Linked DNA regions of Sus scrofa. The protein of the gene in region 1 purifies or fractionates together with the protein of each later gene. This does not show direct contact. Links are inferred from orthologs where the notes say so. Each region holds a gene or a part of one and is shown on either strand. Other genes may lie near its edges. The genes, in order: AP1B1, AP1M2, AP1S1, EPS15 and AP1G2.

The links.
Region 2: the proteins of AP1B1 (region 1) and AP1M2 purify together in Homo sapiens (affinity purification with mass spectrometry; 3 studies listed by BioGRID and IntAct, counting the BioPlex papers as one, with this or other methods). This does not show direct contact. The link is inferred for Sus scrofa from reciprocal best matches to the Homo sapiens genes AP1B1 and AP1M2.
Region 3: the proteins of AP1B1 (region 1) and AP1S1 fractionate together in Homo sapiens (co-fractionation; 6 studies listed by BioGRID and IntAct, with this or other methods). This does not show direct contact. The link is inferred for Sus scrofa from reciprocal best matches to the Homo sapiens genes AP1B1 and AP1S1.
Region 4: the proteins of AP1B1 (region 1) and EPS15 purify together in Homo sapiens (affinity purification with mass spectrometry; 3 studies listed by BioGRID and IntAct, with this or other methods). This does not show direct contact. The link is inferred for Sus scrofa from reciprocal best matches to the Homo sapiens genes AP1B1 and EPS15.
Region 5: the proteins of AP1B1 (region 1) and AP1G2 fractionate together in Homo sapiens (co-fractionation; 3 studies listed by BioGRID and IntAct, with this or other methods). This does not show direct contact. The link is inferred for Sus scrofa from reciprocal best matches to the Homo sapiens genes AP1B1 and AP1G2.

What each region holds. Positions count from the first base shown.
Region 1 is NC_010456.5:46,492,648-46,496,162, forward strand, and holds part of AP1B1 (AP-1 complex subunit beta-1), read right to left. Parts: intron 2,577-3,515; coding exon 2,441-2,576; intron 1,738-2,440; coding exon 1,492-1,737; intron 1-1,491. UniProt on the Homo sapiens protein: Subunit of clathrin-associated adaptor protein complex 1 that plays a role in protein sorting in the late-Golgi/trans-Golgi network (TGN) and/or endosomes.
Region 2 is NC_010444.4:69,351,099-69,355,058, forward strand, and holds the start of AP1M2 (AP-1 complex subunit mu-2), read right to left. Parts: upstream 2,809-3,960; 5' UTR 2,694-2,808; coding exon 2,652-2,693; intron 949-2,651; coding exon 792-948; intron 575-791; coding exon 507-574; intron 1-506. UniProt on the Homo sapiens protein: Subunit of clathrin-associated adaptor protein complex 1 that plays a role in protein sorting in the trans-Golgi network (TGN) and endosomes.
Region 3 is NC_010445.4:8,879,762-8,883,807, reverse strand, and holds the start of AP1S1 (AP-1 complex subunit sigma-1A), read right to left. Parts: upstream 2,816-4,046; 5' UTR 2,680-2,815; coding exon 2,677-2,679; intron 2,174-2,676; exon of another isoform or gene 2,044-2,173; intron 903-2,043; coding exon 724-902; intron 137-723; coding exon 28-136; intron 1-27. UniProt on the Homo sapiens protein: Subunit of clathrin-associated adaptor protein complex 1 that plays a role in protein sorting in the late-Golgi/trans-Golgi network (TGN) and/or endosomes.
Region 4 is NC_010448.4:160,789,816-160,792,856, forward strand, and holds the end of EPS15 (epidermal growth factor receptor substrate 15), read left to right. Parts: intron 1-93; coding exon 94-240; 3' UTR 241-2,528; downstream 2,529-3,041. UniProt on the Homo sapiens protein: Involved in cell growth regulation. May be involved in the regulation of mitogenic signals and control of cell proliferation. Involved in the internalization of ligand-inducible receptors of the receptor tyrosine kinase (RTK) type, in particular EGFR.
Region 5 is NC_010449.5:75,546,548-75,549,992, reverse strand, and holds the end of AP1G2 (AP-1 complex subunit gamma-like 2), read right to left. Parts: intron 3,313-3,445; coding exon 3,223-3,312; intron 3,136-3,222; coding exon 3,008-3,135; intron 2,766-3,007; coding exon 2,661-2,765; intron 2,371-2,660; coding exon 2,259-2,370; intron 2,174-2,258; coding exon 2,038-2,173; intron 1,564-2,037; exon of another isoform or gene 1,361-1,563; coding exon 1,197-1,360; exon of another isoform or gene 973-1,196; coding exon 874-972; exon of another isoform or gene 787-873; coding exon 685-786; 3' UTR 503-684; downstream 1-502.

The DNA.
Region 1 (3,515 bases):
TTTAGTGTTACACAGAATGGGACAGCTGGGCCAGGCAGGTTGTACATTGCCTTTTTTTTAATCTTTTTATAGCTGCACCTGCAGCATATGAAAGTTCCCAGGCTAAGGGTCGAATCAGAGCTGTATCTGGGGCCTATGCCACAGCAACTTCGGATCTGAGACCCATCTGTGACCTATGCTGTAGCTCATGGCAATGCCAGGTCCTTAAGCCACTGAATGAGGCCAGGATCAAACCCATATCCTCATGGATACTAATCAGATTAGTTTCCTCTACTCCACAAAGGGAACTCCACATTTCATTTTATTTAAAAAAATTTTTTAATCTTTTTGTCTTTTTAGGGCCACAGCCGCTGCATATGGAGGTTCCCAGGCTAGGGGTCGAATCAAAGCTGTAGCTGCTGGCATACGCCACAACCATAGAAACGCCAGATCCAAGCTGAGTCTGCGACCAATACCACAGCTCACAGAAATGCTAGATCCTTAACCCACCGAGTGAGGTCAGGGATCGAACCCGCATCCTCATGGATCCTGGTCGGCTTTGTTAACCACTAAGGCACTGACGGGAACTCCCACATTTCATTTTAAATATGGCCCTACTGAATTGCCCACCAAACCGAGGAGACCAGGTCCCCTCCCAACGCATCCTGGTGCCTTTTCTCCGGTTACACTACTTCAAGGGTAACCATCTCTAACTCTGCAAAGAGTGGGGAAAGGGAGAAGCACCTCCCATTCACAGCTCATTGATGGTCTTGGTGAGAGGACGGTGATAACAACAGTGACTAGGAGTTTCCGTCATGGCTCAGGGAACCATGTGGTTGTGGTTAATGAATCTGACTAGGAACCATGAGGGTGTGGATTTGATCCCTGGCCTCACTCAGTGGGTTAAGGATCCAGCATTGCAGTGAGCTGTGGTGTACGTTGCAGACGTGGCTCGGATCCTGCGTTGCTGTGGCTCTGGCGTGGGCCAGCGGCTACAGTTCCGATTAGACCCTAGCCTGGGAAACTATATGCCACGGGAGTGGCCCAAGAAATGACAAAAAGACCAAAAAAACAAACAAACAAAACAAAACAAAACAAACCCCAAAAAAACCAACAACAGTGACTAGAAGGGGAAGGAGGGCACTAGTCGTAGATGCATATCCACTGTGTGCCAGGCTATGCTAGGCACGATACCTTCATAGATAAAGCCTCATACACTCCTGGTAACCATGCAGAAATAGATTCATCTTACTGATGAAGAAAAGAGGGCTCTGGAAGGTTAGGCAGCTTGCTCAAGGTCGCAAAGCTTGTTAGAGAGAGCCGTGCAGACAAGAGCATCTAGGTCTAGCTCACTCCAAAGATGGTGCCCAAACCACTGCAGGCAGGAGAACAGCTGGCCCACCCCGCAGGGCTCTTTCCAGGAACTGAAGCTGCCTGGTGGAGGGTCAAGCCAAGGCCTTCCAAGGAACCCTGGAGGAGGTAGAGGTGACACTGTGGGTGGCAGTGACTTACCATGGGGTTAGAATCAGAGATGAGGTCTTTAAGAGTGTCTAGGAAGCCCTGGTCCTCTACCAGCTGGGCGTTGATGTCGTGAAGCTTGGCCACGCACACAGCTGCTGTCTTACGCACATAGGGGTCCTCATCCTTTAGGCACTTCCGGAGTGGCTCACACAGATACTCTGTGATCTTGTCGACACGGATGCACCCCATGGTCCGCACAGCCAGAGCCCGGATCAGAGGGTTGGGGTCCTCACAGTCCTAAGGGGAATCAGCCATTGGCCGAGGTGAGCAACATCATACAGCTACCATGGGATCTCCCACCAATTGTGGCCAACAACATCAAAAGCAAGGGCCATATATGGGCATCTAACACCTGCCAGATGCTAGGCTTTGCACTATCCTCCTTGATCCTCATAGCAGACACAGAATACAGTTCCTATTTTACAGGTGAGGGAGCTGAGGCTCTCAGCAAGGTCGGGAGCTCACCCAGTCACACAGCAGAGCCATGACCCATCCTGCATCTAATATTTCAATTAGGCCCTAGGACTCACCTATCTGGGCATCAATGGGAATTAGGGAGCTAAGGTTATAAAGTGCAGAGCTGACACTGCAAGTCCCTGCTTCTCCCCAATCTGGAGGACAGAAAATGCAGAAAGGAGCAAAGTCTAGAAGGGGAGCACAGCTCTCAGATGCGTGCTGCATCCTGTGCTGGCAAATGACGCAGGGCAGTGGCTCACCCCAGGGAACAGGGGGAACAACAGGCCTGGGGTGACCTCACATGGAGTGAAGTAGCAGGGTCTGTGGCATCTGCTATTCTGAAGAGAGCTGGGGCCCTCTGCTGGAGGAAGAGTCCCCAGGATGGGAGCCAGAGGGCCCAGGCCCAGAGCCATAGTGCCCCACCCTAAGAGACCGGGGGGAGCAGTAAGCAGCTACACCCCTCCTCCCACAAGCTCCTGCTCACCTTCACAAAGGTGTTGACGGCCATAATGGCCATGTCTGGCTGACTCTTGGCATAGTTCATCAAGTACAGGTACACTAGCTTCTTCAGCTCCAGGTTGTCCGTCTGCATACAGTTCACCACATCGGGGAAGAGGGCACTGGAAGGTCAAAGCGGTGTCAGTGCAAGGAAGGCCAAAGAAGAGAAAAGAAGATTTTTCAGGCAGTTAATGGAGGGTGCGGAGGGGGGTGAGTGGGAAGGAGGGAAGGAAAAGATAACAGGTCTTCCTAGTAAAAGGCAGGGCAACAGCTTTTACCATGAATATCTACTGGTAGAAAATGAATTCCAAAGGGTGATTTTTTTCCCCCTTTTTTGGCTGCACCAGTTTTCCAGCAGACACCCGATCCCTTTGCTGATCTGTCCTCAGCAGGCTTCTCTGTAGAGCTGCTTCTCCTGTGGTGCTGTCAGGAGGTCCCTTGCTGAGTGTGGCAATGGGATTGGGCACTACAAGTATGAGCAGAGGGATCCTGCTGAGGGACCCAGATGGGGAGCTGCTCCAGGCCAGTGTCCAGGCCTACAAGGCATGGAGCTTGGCACCACAAGGACACCAAGGACAGGGAAGGAAGAAAGCACCCAGGTCTGGATTTCAGATGGGTTGAGCGTGAGTAATGGTTCTGCCATTAACCAAGTGACCATTTGGACAGTCACTGTTTCTGGCTTCTTTGGCCAAAGATCATCCTTACCTACAGTATGGAAATTGTATGGAACTTCCAGGAAAATATATCTAAAAGTGTTCTGCTGACTCTCAAACACTATGTGTTGAGCTGCTGTAAAATCTAGCCCTTGTCCTTGAGGACTTGACAATGTGGTGGGCAGGGAGGCTCAAGCGCACATAAGAAGAGGGCACTCTAGAATTAGGGCCAAGCAATAGGAACACAGCAAATGCTATGTGTTCAGGGCAGTGGGCCAGAGTGATGAAGGAGACAGCTGGGTAAACGCAAAAGGGGAAGGGACGTTCCAGGCTGGGGAGATGCATGAGTAAAGGAGGGGCTGTCATTCTGTATGCGATCTGCTGTGGTAACAGATGCAAACCAGAGGC
Region 2 (3,960 bases), on another chromosome or scaffold:
AGCCAGGAAGTTGGTGAGTGGGTTTGGAACCCAGTTCCCTTTAGTTCAGATTATTATTTTTCCTTTTTCTAAGGCCATACCTGAGGCATATGGAAGTCCCCAGGATAGAGGTCAAATTGGAGCAGTAGTTGCCGGCTTATGCCACAGCCACAGCAATGCCAGATTTGAGATGCGTCTGCAACCTACACCTTAACCCACTGAGCGAAGCCAGGGATCGAACCTGCAACCTCATGGATACTAGTCAGGCTCATTACCACTGAGCCATAATGGGAACTCCCCCCTTGGTTCATATTTGAGCAGGATACCCTCTGAGGAACCTCCCTGGTCCCTGCCCTATAGGGAGAGATGATACCATAGCAGCTAATGAGAATACAGAGTGATGGGGCGTTGATGGGGGCACCCCCAGGGAGGTCAGGGAAAGCTTCCTAGGAGAGATGGATCCTGAAACAGGCAGACAAAACAGGTGGACAGACAGACCAGGCAGCCAATGGAAGGCCAGAACCTACCTCCACTGTCTTGTACAGGAAGGAGTACACAAGAGAGGCGTTGGCATTCTTCAGGGTGGTGGCCACCACTGCAGGCAGCAAGGTTAAGGAAAAGGTGCCATTTTGGAGGGTTCCAATGGAGTACAGACCCTGAAACACACACCCCCAGCCCCCACCCCTGCCCCAACCACCCTCACCCTCCAGCTTGAGCCACGATGGGCTGTGTGTCTCCTGTGCTGACCCACCTTTTCTGGGCCTGAGCTGCCACCACCCCAAGCCCCCAGGGACCCACCTGTGGCTGGATACAGTAGAGGTTGCTGTATTTGATCCACAAGAAGTGGACCCGGCCATGGCTCAGCAGTGGGGCCAGGGCACCCTCCTCCTCCCGCTGCATAAGCAAAGGCATGAAGTGCTCGATCTCGCTCATGGCCACGTCGCCCTTGTAGTTGCGGCTGATCAAGGGCTGAGAGTGGACAGAGAAGGGCTGGTCACCTCTGGGATCCAGGGACATTCCTGCCAGAGGCATCAGAGCACGAGGCTCTGAGCCCACTTGCTGGCTAAGGGGTGTGGGCAAGGCTCTGCCTCTCTGCACCTCAGTTTCCTCTTCTGCAAAATGCCAGGATATTTGTGGATTTATTTATTTATTTGTTTGTTTATGTCTTTTCTAGGGCCCCACCCATGGCATATGGAGGTTCCCAGGATAGGGGTCCAATTGGAGCTGTAGCTGCCAGCAATGCAGGATCCGAGCCGTATCTGTGACCTACATCAAAGCTCAAGGCAATGCTGGATCTTTAACCCACTGAGCAAGGCCAGGGATCAAACCCACAACCTCATGGTTCCTAGCCAGATTCGTGAACCACTGAGCCATGACGGGAACTCCTGTTTGATGATTTATTTCATTGTCACCACAAGCGTGAGGTTGGTGATCTCATCATTTCCATTTTACAGATGGGGAAACTGAGGTATGAATCATCTCCACAGTAAGTGGGGAAGCCAAGAATTGAATCCTGGCTCTAGAATTCCTGCTCTCAAGCACGGCTTCTATCACCAAATAGGTAAGGTAGAGATGATGAAAGGAAAGAAAGAGAGGAGTTCCCACCATGGCACAATGGGATTGGGAGTGTTTCTGTGCAGGTTTGATCTCCAGCCTGGGATGCAGGTTTGATCTCCAGCCTGGCACGGTGGGTGAAGGATCTGGTGTTGCCAAAGCTGCAGCACAGGTCACAACTGCTGCTGGGATTTGATCCCTAGCCCAGGGGAACACCATATAAAGGGAAAAAAAAGGAAAGAAAGAAGAGAGAAAAAAAGAAAGAGAGAGAGAGAAAGAAAAGAAGGAAGAAAGGAAGGAAAGAAGAGTTCCCTAGTGTCTCAGCAGGTTAGGGGTCCACCGTTGTCACTGCTGTGGCTCCAGTTGTAGCTGTAGCTTGAGTTCGATTCCTTGGCCCAGGAATTTCCGCATGCCATGGGCGTGGCCAAAAAAATAAAGAAAAAACAAAAAAAGAAAAATGATTATACCCATATACATCTTCTAGTTCATATGCTCTGTCTGGCAGGCAGTAGCAGTCAATAATAGTAGTACCTACTTGGGGAGGTTATGTAGTCCAGTGTTTTAGAACCCAGCGGGCACTAAGCAGGTCCTCACACACCTTAGCTTTCAATATTATTATCAGGAATATTACTCTCACCACCACTATTATTATTGCTATTGAATGACATGACAAATGGGAGGGGATTCCAAGAAGGGACAAGGCAGCCTCAAAGGATAATTAGGGTCTTCTGCCTGTGCTGTTCTCCCCAAATAATAATATGGAGGATGATGATAGAAATAATTTCAACAGATTAAATGCCAAATGTTTGCAGCAGGGGAACTGTGCTAACTAATATACAGACATGGGGTTGTGTTCTTTCTTCTTGGGTGGGGACTGTCTTATTCATTCCCATTTGCATGGACAGTGAGACTGAGGCTCAGAGAGGCGAGGCCCCTTGCCTCAGACACGCGACTGGTAAACAGCGAAGGTGGGATTAGCGCGGGACACCCAGGCCTTGGGGGAGGGGTGTTCCTACACACCAGAGCTTTCTGGGGCCTCGAGACCCGGAGGCCCGCCCCTGGGTCGGGGAGAGCGGAGCCTCACCTGTCCGTCCCCTCCTCCCCGCCCCCAGCCTCACCTTGCCCTTAACGTCGAGGATGAAGACAGCGGAGGCGGACATGGTGGCGGCCGGCGGACTAGGGAGGTGGGAAGGGAACTCCAGGAGGCGACAGTGGCGCCGCTTCCTTCTTCCTGCGGAAGCGCCCGCGCGCAGGTGAGGACCCAGGTGAGCGCGTCTTAAAGGGGAGGTCTCCAGGTGAGCGGCGCTGTCGGCCGACGAGAAGACGCTGCGAGGGCGGAGCTTCGGCTGGGACAGCTGCCCCGCCTCACTTTCCCTTTGCATCCTGGAGTGTCGATGGGCTGGGCGGAGATCTCAGACCAACCATCTATCCATCCAGCCAACAAACTATTCATCCATCCATTCATCCATCTAACCATCCAACCAACCACCACCCAGCCACTCATTCGTTTCTCTTGTCACTACCACGCGGGTATTCATCCCATAGAGCAGGGACTTGTGTTTTTCATGCCTGGGGCCTCAGTGACTAGTGCTGGCTGGGTGCTCAATGTGTGCCTAATTAATTAATACCCTACATATTTACTAATTAATGTCTTCATTCACTCGCTGATAAATTCTTCCACTCCATGCCCGGAACTGCGGCTTTTTTTTTTTTTTTTAGAGCCGCAGCCACAGGCATATGGAGTTTCCCAAGCTAGGGGTCTAATCGGAGCTACAGCTGCCGGGCCTACGCCAGAACCGCAGCAACATAAGATCTGAGCCGCATCTGCGACCTATACCACAGCTCACGGCAATGCAGGATCCTTAACCCACTGAGCAAGGCCAGGGATCGAACCCGAAACCTCATGGTTCTTAGTCGTATTTGTTTCTGCTGTGCCACAATGGGAACTCCCAGAAACTGTGGTTTGCATGCTGCACAGGACAAATGTAGCTGCTTTTACTACTATTCCTAATGTTACTCTTTTATTAAAAAAAATTTAGGGAGTTCCCTAGTGCCCTAGTGGCTAGAGGACCCAGCATTGTCACTCCTGCGGTGTAGATTCTATCCCTGGCCTAGAACTTCTGTGTGCAACCCAAAAAATTATTTTTGTAATTTTTCTAATTTTTTATACAGTTTTGTTTGTTTGTTTTGTCCTTTTAGGGCTGCACCCATAGCACATGGTGTTTCCCAGGCTAGGGGTCAAATTGGAGCTGCAGCCACCAGCCTACGTCACAGCAATAGAAACTTGGGATCCGAGCCGCATCTGCAACCTACACCACAGCTCACGGCAATGCCAGAGCTTTAACCCACTGAGTGACACCAGGGATCGAACCCACGTCCTCATGGATGCTAGTCGGGTTCATTAACCACTAAGCCAAAACAGAACTT
Region 3 (4,046 bases), on another chromosome or scaffold:
GAAACTGTGGTGGGTGGGGAGACTTACACTGCCGAAGTATTTGTCCAGGAGCTCCACGTATCGATGGATCAGCTCCAGTGTGATGAGCTCATTGTCTTGGCCCTCGATGGCACAGCAGAAGTAGAGGCTGGCGTATCTGAGGACAGGGGCACATGAGGGATGGCTGGAAGGGCTGCTGGGTTGGCTTCAGGACCCAGACCTCCCATTTTCCCTCATTCCCAGTGTGCGCCCCTATAGCACACTGGCGAGGTGGGGCCAGGGTATGCACATAGCAATTCCCTCAGCCTCTCAGATCCTCTCACAAACGCAGGCAAAGACGCAAGCTCTTCCCCTCTTGCCCTCTGACCTGTTCAGTTTGACTCAGCAAAAACCTGAGCCAACGAATCCACCTGCTCTGAGAAGGAACTGGAAAGGGTGTGTGTGCCTGTGCCTGTGTGTTGGGAAAGTGGCACAGTATCTAGGAGGCTGCAAGGGACGTGCCCAACAGACAAGACCGGACCTTTAGGACAGAGGGAGGTGCATGAAATAGGTGTCAGGTTGGACAAAACCAAAAGGGAACCAGAATTTCAGTCAAGGTGGCTGGAGTTCACCACTGGCCTCCAGAGGTCCTTAGCTCTCAGCTCTCCCTGATCTAAGGACTGCTTATTTCTCAGCCATGTGAACCCATAGCCAGACCCCAATCAAGCAGGAAACAGGTGGGACTGAGAGCAGGTGGGAAGTCACCTCTTATAGACGACTTTGAGGTCCCTCCACTCGAGGAAGCTGCACATCTTGGGCTTGCGAGCCAGAACAACCTGCATGAGCTCCCGAACCATCTTCTTTCGCTCCTTGTCTGATGTGGCCAGGTACCATTTTTGCAGCCGCAGCTTTCCCTGCCGGCTGAACAGCAGCATGAATCGCATCTGGGGGTGGAGGGGGAGAGTCAGAGCAGAAGGTCAGAGATTTGGTTCTCTGAGCTTGTTTCCTCCATAACTACGCAGCCCCAAACTCATCCCAACTAACGGTTCTACTCACAGCTCCTTTCTCCAACATGTCAGCCCTTGCTGTCAAGCCTAGGTGCTTCCACTAGCAGGTGTCAGAGCTTCTGAGTCTCTTATTCGGGTTCAAATCCTGGCTCCACTAGTTGAGTACTTTGCCTTGGGCAATTACTTTATGTCTCTGGGCTTCAGCTTCTTGGTGTGTAAGGTGAAAATAATAAAAGTCCCTACCTTACACAGTTGTTGAATGGGATGAAGAGAGTTGATAAATGACACAGTGCCCGGCAGGAAATGAGCACGTTAACACCTTAGGTGTTATTATTATTCCCTGATCTTCTGTTTCCTAATCATGTTTTCCAAAAGTGGGTAAAATGCTAGCACAGTGACAAGTAGCCTGTAGCTGAAATCAGGTATCTCATCCCTCGAGAAGCTACCTCAGTTCAACACCCCATCCCAGCCAGATACCCTAGCTGATGTCCCCAACACACTGCCCGCCAGTGCCAGGCCTATGCCCCAGGGTCTCCTTCATGTCAGCACATGATTCCACCCTCCTCTCTCCTCAGCCACCCAGGCATTTGGCCTCTGAGATTCCTCTTTTCTTCCTTTCAGGGTGCCACCTGCTACAACGCCCACACCTCCCCAGATACCAGGTGACCAATTTCCCTTCCAGTTCCTCAGTTTGGACACAGCCATTCAGAGTGGCTCCCCTAGGGAATGTTGTGGAACAAGTGCAAGAGGGTGGAGTGGGGAAGAGTGCAGAACCCTCGACCCCGTAAACCCCGCAAACCCCGCCGGCAGCTTCCCAGTTCCAGGGGTCTGGGTCACACCTGGAGTCATCTCCCTCACCCACTAGCTCTTGTCTCCGTGTACATTCCCAGGGCCGGAATCCTGGGGATGTGGAACAACACTAGCAGGCTAAAGATCAGAATTCAAGAGAACCGATTTTTTTTTTTTGCTGGCAGGGAAGGGGTAGCACTGCTAGCGTGGTGGGAGGGCCACGGAGGGGCTGAAGGGAGCCGTGCTCCGCTAAGATGGGGGGTGGGCCGGGCAGCAGGAAGACGGAAGGCCTGGGTTCCGGAAAGAGGATGAGGTGGGGGCGGAGAGGCCAGAGCACGCGAGCCGAGGAGCCAAAAGCTGGGTCCCCGAGAGCAAAACCTCGAGACCACTTGGCTTTCCCACCTCACTCCAGCCTCTAGGTGAGCAGGGCGGCAAACCGCGGCAGGACGTCCCCTCGTCACACCCGGAAACTATCCCCTCCCACACACACGGCCCTCCCCGCCGGCGGCCGCCGCTTCTCTGTGGGCTGCACGGGTACAGTCAGTCTGGGTGACCCGAGACCCCCCTCTGCCTTCCTCCTCCGACAGGCCCCGGTGCCGCTCTTCCTCAGGCGACTTCCCTGTGGCAGGGCTCGGGACCACTGGGTTCGCGACCCGCGCGTTCCCGCTCGCCCGGGCCAGTCCCGCCGCCCCCTAGTCACCCTCTCACCCCACAAATGTGCCCCCTCCCCGCCCCTTTGCCCTTAAGCCATTTCCAGCTGCTCTTCCTTTCGAGGCCGGCTGGCCCACCCGTCCGGATAAGTAAAGGCCTCTGAGGACCGGAGGGAAGGAAACGGCTCACACAGAGGGCGGCCCCCCAGGACCCCCGCAGGTGCAGCCCACGCCCCTCGGTTCCCCCTCCCCTCCCTCTTTGCACAGCCTACCATCCTGCAGCCTCCGGCCCTGCGCGTCCCTCTTCAGCCACCGTAGGCGCCAGCTCCACTCCCTTTCAGATCCCTTCGCCTCCTTCCCTCCCTCACGCTTGAAGCCCCGCCCCGTCCGCCCCGGCACGGAGAACCCATGCGATGCGTACTGCGCAGGCGCCAACGCTGCAGGGCGCGCAGGCGGGGCTGGGGGGCGGAGAAGCGGAAGCCATGGCAACCAGGTCCTCGACTTCAGCTTTGATTAGCTCTGTCGTCATGGTAACAAGGCTGTCTTGTGGGCTGGTTGGAGGACGGGGGAGGAGGACAATGAGGTCCTCGCGCTTTGGAACCTTGGGGGGAAAAGGCGGGAAAAGGGGTGAGAGATGGGTGAGATGACCGCTGGAGTTCATGAGGAAGTAGGGTGGTTTAATGGAAGGGGCGTGGGCGACTGAGAGGGAACAAGGTGGGAACTGTCTGTGGGGAAGGAAGAATGATGAGAAAGGCGAAGACAAAGGGTGGGGGGGGCAAGCTTGAGAAAAGTATGGAGCTCAAAATAGATATCTACTGAGAACCTGCTAGATGCAACACTCAAAGTAAGAGAGATTTGTAGGTAATGAGAGAGACCAGAAATAAAAGAAAAAGGAGGGGCTGATAGAAAACTGATGTAAGGAAGAGGGGGAGCATGAATTAAGGCAAAAGAGGAAGAAGTCGAGAAAATTTTAAAAGGTTAGCATAAATCAAAGCTAGGAAAGGGTCAGTTGTAACCCAGACACAAGTGTAAAGATGAGAATTGTCATACAAGCTTTTTGGCTGAGGATGTGCATGTTTGAGTGTGTATGCTTGTGTGTGTAAAGGAGTTTGCATATAAATAGGTAAGAAAATCTCAAACTTGCTGAAAAAATGGCATATTTCTAGATAATTCTTGGAAATTAATGGTGCTATTACTTATGAGCAGCACTTGAAGCAGTTGTTGGTAAGGTCCTACCTGTCTCCACTTTGTATTCTTTTTCCTTTACTCTTTGTTATGGAGGTAATATGCTTTAGTTGCCAGAGGGTGGGCCTAATTCACCTGGGATGCAATCTGGTCTCTGATTCTTATTTGATGTATAGTCTCAAGTGGGTCATTTGGGGGGGGGTACTGCTCTCACAGCATGCAGATGTGCCCAGGCCAGGTAATCCAACCCTCGCCACAGCAGAGATCCAAGCCACCAGATCCTTAACCCTCTAGGCCACCAGGGAACTCCTCAAGTGGATCATTTAACCCTCCTTTCCTCATTTTAAAAACGAAGATAGCATTACCTACCCTGCAAGTCTGATTTCAGGCTGTATATATCTGACACACTGTAAACACCTGATTTGGGTAGGGATTACGACTATTTGCTTTTTCCACC
Region 4 (3,041 bases), on another chromosome or scaffold:
GTCCTTTTGTGAAGCCTCTTTTTCCTTCTTTTCTTTGTATTTGTACCACTCATGAAGCTGTTCATTTGTTTGTTCATTTGACTTAAATGGCAGTACCCCTCTGAAGAAGATATGATTGAATGGGCCAAGAGAGAAAGCGAGAGAGAGGAAGAGCAGAGGCTTGCCCGACTTAATCAGCAAGAGCAGGAAGACTTGGAACTGGCTATTGCACTCAGCAAATCTGAGATCTCAGAAGCATGAAGAATTCTCCTGTCCTTTGGTCAGCCACACAGTACCCTCCCTCCCGAATACTGAAGCTATTTACAGTGTGTACCAAAACTCCCTACAAGCATGGGAAAACAAAAGGTTTGAGATTCCTGTAAATGTGACAAAAAGTTTTGTTTTGTTTTTTAACTCCATTTCAGATTTGTCTCCCCCCGCGCCCTACCCCGACCCCCGTAAAAGCAGTAACTCAGACAACTTCACCTAGGCCCCTGTTCTGGTGTGCATTTAGTGTGAGCTTTTGCCTGCCTGTGCTCCTTTTACTTGTAAAGCTAGAGCACCCAAGCTTCTGCCTTCTGGAATATAGAGAAGTAGTTTCACCCCTGTGCTACCCTTGTTCTGTAGTTACTCTAATGATAGCTAGTGGGGTTCTTAAAGTTGGCAGTATTCTCCCTGGATTTAAATAGTTGAGAGAGGGGAAGGGAAAGAACATCCTGTTTCTTTTACAGTAAAACAAATTGGGTAGTTTAAAAGTACATATTTGTATTTCCTTATAATCAGAGTACTGTTCAGTTTGGTTTTTATAGACAAGAAAAAATATTTTGCATAAATTGACTCCCCTATTGAAAAAGGGATGCTTTAGATTGACCCATTATAGCTTCAGACTCCATCTTTTCCTAAATAAAAAATGTTAAAGCCTCATGTGTGAAATATATTTAAAAAATTTTTTCTCTGAATTTAAAGAATTTTAGATAAACAGATACCTCTTCATAATTTTAAGTGCTAGAGAGTGGAGAAAAATTATCACCTAAATTATACCCATCAATATAATACAAGGTAAGCAAAAATCTTATGGCAGCCATTCTGCCATTCCTATGGCACTGTCCTCTTTAGTTCATGGTAGGTTTATTTTTATACTTTTGAAGAAGAAACCTTAGCAGGCTAGAACTGGAAGGTACTTTAACTTTTTGTATATATATATATATTTTGTTTTCTTTAATGAAGACGCAGTTACTTGAAATGTAAAAACATTCACTGAATACAAATGAAAAAAGTGACATTATTAAATCATATTATTTTTTTCCCATCTTTGTGGATTAGAATAGTTTATTATCTTCATGTTTTTCACCTATAAAATTGGCAGGCTAGCAAAAAATATGTTTTTTTTTTAATTGGGAGAGAAGAGACCTGACAGATTATCAAAGTTCTTTATGTCTTAGAAGTTGTCTCCTGTAAAACTGACCTAGCAGACAAGCTGAATTTAAAAGGGACTCTGAAGTAGGCTGTAAATTATAAAGTAATCTTAATTTTTTTAACATCAGTTACTAAAATAATGTATTGAAAACGAAGATAAAGGAAAATGCACCTAAAAACTAATTAAATGTCCCTGTGGTCACCAAGTAAAGGTGGTATTATTGATCTGTGTTAATCAGGGTGGCTGATTGTCTAGCCTATGAATAAATCCCCAAATATCCAGTTCATTTCATCTTGAAATGGTGCTTTTTTTCTCTCCACACAATTGGACTGCTGCATTTCAAAAAACTTAAACCACTTTCTTGCACTGCTAACTTTTTTCTACTTTTATAAATTGGAACATCTCGGCATGGAAGTCATACATGTGAAGCAAGGGCTGAATCATAATCACAAGGCTTTAATTTTGATGAACAAATTCAGTAATAAGGGTATACTGCAAAAAGTTGATTGAGAAGGTAGTGTTGGGACTTGTGATAGGTAGTGGTTTTTGGGTTTTTTTTCTTCCCCTTACATTTGAGGAGAAAAGGTAAGTTGACTTGAACAACCTTTTGCACTGGGAAAATGAACAGATGTTTGAAATGGTTTTAAAATCTTTTTTTTTTTTTTTTAATTAAAAAACACTCTGGAAAATACTAAATATCTGTAACTTAAAAACACCAACTTTTGATGTAATAAATATACCCTAATCTTATGTGTGTTTAACTGGATTACATAGATTCTTATCTTTTGTTAAAATGTGTATACTCAGTGGACCAATATAATATGAAAGTATGTATATATTATATAAAAATATATATATATATATATATCTAAATCTCCATGCTCACTTGTGTAGGATGAATGTCTTAGAGTTATTTGTGATTATATTTTACGTTGTTGACTGACTCCAGAGCCTGTGCTTGGAAAGGACAGATAAGTATTCGGAGAGCTAAGTGGCACTACTTACAAAGTTTTAACCATCTTCTACCTACTTGTTCAAGTTTGAGTTCTCTTTATAGAACTTTCTCCTCTGTTTCAAACTTCTAAATTGTAGCCTGTAATTATGAGAACAATAAACTTTCAGTAATAATAAACCATACTATCCGTCCGTCCTATCTGAAATGGAGTTTTGCATGGTTCTCTGTTATGTCCATGCTGTGTCCACGGAGGGGTAGGCATACAGTCAGCACAGATGAATATGTGTAAAGTGCTTGAGACAGTACCTGGTGTAGAATAAATACTCAATAAATGTTAACTCTTATTTTCAGTTATCACGTCCTGTTTTTGTGAGAGAGTGGTAGGAAATGTGTGTGCATAGAGACCGTGCCTGAATCATAGGTGGTTTGTATGTGTTTGTTGAGTAAGGATTTGTGACATGGACTCTAGGCGGGCACTGTGCTGTAGAAAATTCACGCAATCCTGGGACTGAATCCCTGGTCTGCCATTTCTGGAAAAGAGACTTGGACAGCGTTATATCTGGCTTCCCTGAGCCTCATTTTCCTCATCAGGATGGTTCTGAAGAATTTGAGTTGGACAGCTTTTTAGTATTACTTACTTTAATTAAACAAATTCAGCCATGTTATTATTAATAGTGAAGATGGCTATTG
Region 5 (3,445 bases), on another chromosome or scaffold:
CAATCTGCGGGCCGCCCCTCTCCCCTGGCCGCTAAGCAGCCTCCATTGATTTCCGCTCGTGTTTATAGGATTTCCACTTAGCCGTGATCAGTAGTTAAGCACAGGAAAATCCCTTGCCACCCCCCTCCCTTGGTCGATGCCATTGATTCTGCCAGCGGCTCCTAAACCGCCTTACAGCTGAGTTAGAGATGAGGGGAGGCAGCAGGGATTTCCCTGCCCTGGGGTATGGGGAATAGCAGCAGGTTGGGCAAACAGGCAGGAATCCCTGTTAGGAATCGAGAAATTCTGGTTTGCTGTTGCCACTGTGTCCTGCTCTGGCCCAGAGGGCAGCGTGCCTCCTGTGGAAGTTTAGGGGCACATCTGCTCCCCAGCCCTGGAGAGGGGTAGAAAGAAAACCCTCCTTTGCTGCAACCAGTTCCAAAGGCTCAGGGCAAGATACCTACTTCCCATGTAAGAAAACTCCTCCCTGGGTGTTAAACACATATGTTTTCTACCTCAAATATGGTTTTCCCTCCTCAGGCTTTATTATTTGTGAGGTTGAGGGGGAGCCCCCAACAGGTTCTGCAGTGGCAAGCACAGGACCAGAGCGCCACCTGCTGGTAGCGCTCAGATGTGCCTCCAGGTAGCTGGGGCCCCTGTGGTTTGGGTTCTTAGGAAGACTTCATACTGTGAGTGGAGGCAGAGTTACTGCCATGTCTCCACAGGCAAGTTGTTCACCTCAAAGATTTCCTGCACCGACTGGCCAAAGTGGTTGTAGGTGAGGCGCAGCTTCAGCCGCAAGGGGGCCTAGAGATAAGAGAGCAGAGACCAGGGTTAGCACCTATGACAGCCCCCTTTCCTGGGTCCTAGCCTTGAGGGGCTCCTGGAGCTCACCTTGTTAGGGTTGAGGATTCTGAGGAGCTGCGTCATCGGAAGGCCACCCTGAGCTGGAACTGTGTCCCCACTAGGGGCCTGTAGCTGTAGTTGGAAACTCTGAACACAGAAGGTTGGACAGATCCCACAGTAAGGCAACTGGCTGGGCTCAGGCAACCCCTCCACACCCAGTAGTTTGAACCCTCTTCCCCTAAATCCCCAAGTGCCTGTCCTGGCATATCACTCCCTCCTCATCTCACTCTCTTCCTGACCCACCTCCTCTACTTAGTGGCCTTTTCTCCTGGAGTGCCCAGGCAACATCTGAATCCTAGTCTTCTACAAACCTTGGGCACAGCGGCCTGGCAGATGAAGTGGGTGACATCACCCGCTGAGGTATTGGTGGCTGTGACAGTGATTAACAGCAAAGCAGGGGTTCCAGGGGGTCGAACGAAAGACAGATTCAGCTGTAGTCCCTCACGCTCAAACACTCTGAGATTTGGGATGGGAGCTATGGTAGGGAGAGAAAAGCAGCTCAGTGTATGAGCCGAAGATAATAGTTCATTCGTTCCACAAAAATTAAATGAGCACCCAGTGGGTGCAGGGCACTGCTCGAGAGGCTAGCAACAGAGTGGACAAGGATATGAGGTCCCTGCTGGAGCGGACAGCCTAGTGGGGGGAGAGGACAATAAACGAGATAATCACAGATGGTCACTGGTGCTCCGAAGGAAATAAACTGTCAGGATAACTGGGGGGAACTAACTTAAATAGCAGTAGGGGAAAGCATCTGACATTTCAGGCAAGGCCCAAGAGTGAGAATGAGGCAGTCATTTGATGTGCTGAGGAAAGAGCACTCCATGAGAAAAGAACATGAATGCCAAGGGCTTGAGGTGAAAGGGCCTGAGGGGTTTCGAGGAGACCAGTGGAGCAGGCAGTGGGAAAGCCTATGAGGTGAGTGAGGAGGAAGCAGGGCCCAGAGGCCAGGGTAAGAAGTCTGGAACAAAGGGAAGACACAGGAGGGTGTCCAGGAGGGGACTGGCATGATCCAATGGGCCCTGACACTAGGACAGGGTTGTGATGGGGGCACACCGCAGGGAAGAAGATACCTGAACCTCAGTCCTTGGCTTCAAAGGAGAAGCAGTCTTTCCACCCCTCTTCTTTAAGAAGTTGCCCCTTTGCAGAGCTTACCAGGGGGTGGGGGAGCACAAGGAAGGTCCAGGAGATTTATTAAAGTGCCTCCTGGGGTGGGATCCAGAGGGGGAGGGTGGTGGGCATCTGCAGAAGGGCCATCCAGGAGATCCAAGAGATCCAGGAGCTTCGAGGCCTGGGAGAGGGGGAGAAGGCAGAGAGTCAGGGCTGAGTAAGGAAGCTGGATCATGCTCTTCCTCCGGAGCTCCTCACCTCCTCACCTGGGGCTCTGTGGGGTTAGGGGCCGCTTCTTCTTCTTCGCTTTCCTTTGCTTTCTCATCGACCTGAGGGCCACCTCGCTCCATAAGAGGCATCTTTTCCAGGATGGCAGCCCTGGGAGGATGGAAGGGAGGTATAACCCTCTGGGCAGGCCCTGGGCTTTTCACACAGGAGGTGTGGGAGGAGGGTAAGAACGTGGAGAGTCCTGGGCTTAGGGTGGGTCAGAAGTGCCCCTCTGATTTCCTAAGAAGGCATGCTGCTGCTGTCTGAACAAGGAGGGTGGGAAGCCTGCTTGGCTTCGATGAACTGTGGGTGGGAGGCTCTGACTGGATGAGACCTTTGTGCCCAGAAAGGGACAATGGCCAAGGGGGGTGGGTCCCGCACTGCGGCTGGGTGGTGCGCACCTCATGTGGTCGTACTTCCGGAAGAGAGTGTTGTATTCCACCGCACGCTGCTGCAGCTCCACGTCCATGCAGCTCCCGTAGATGGACACCACCTGGCGGATGCGGCTGGGCCGCGTGGCGGTGTGCAAGTGGGAATGGCGCTCTGCCCCTGCCCCTCACCTCCAGGATGCGGCAGGGAAGGAAGAGGCTCCATGGAGCAGGGAGAGACCCACACTACTTGGCTCAAAAGAAAATACCTAAGGATTGCGGGGAAGTGGGGGGGGTGAGGGCCTGGAGAGAAACCAGAAACTGGGGGTGGGGGCACCGTGGAGAAAGGCTCTAGGAGAGCGGCTGGGCCCCAGTCTCACTTGTTGTCCCCACGGAGCCGGGTGCTGAGCTTCATGAGGGCTGTCAGGGCATATCCTCGGGTAGCTGGCAGGGACATGTGAGACTGCAGCACCCTTTCCAGCAATGCCAACACCTCCTCTTCCTCCACCTTTTGGAGGGACACAGGGAGTGACCCTGGGTTCAGCCCTGCCTCCCCTGACCCATCCCTCCAGTTTACCCCCAGTGCAGGACCCACCTGCAGGGGCTCAGCTTCCTCACAGCTCCCCTCCAGCAGGAGGTCCCCGTATTCCCCAATGCACCAGGCTGCCACCTGCACCAGCGGTTGCTGCATGGGGTAAGAAACGTGCTGGGCCAGCGTCTGGGTCCCCTCCTCACTTCCAGACCCTGTGACATCCCTTTAGGTAGTGCAGAGATGGTGGAGTTTAGAGGAGAGGGGAAAAGGGAAGGCCTTCAGCACA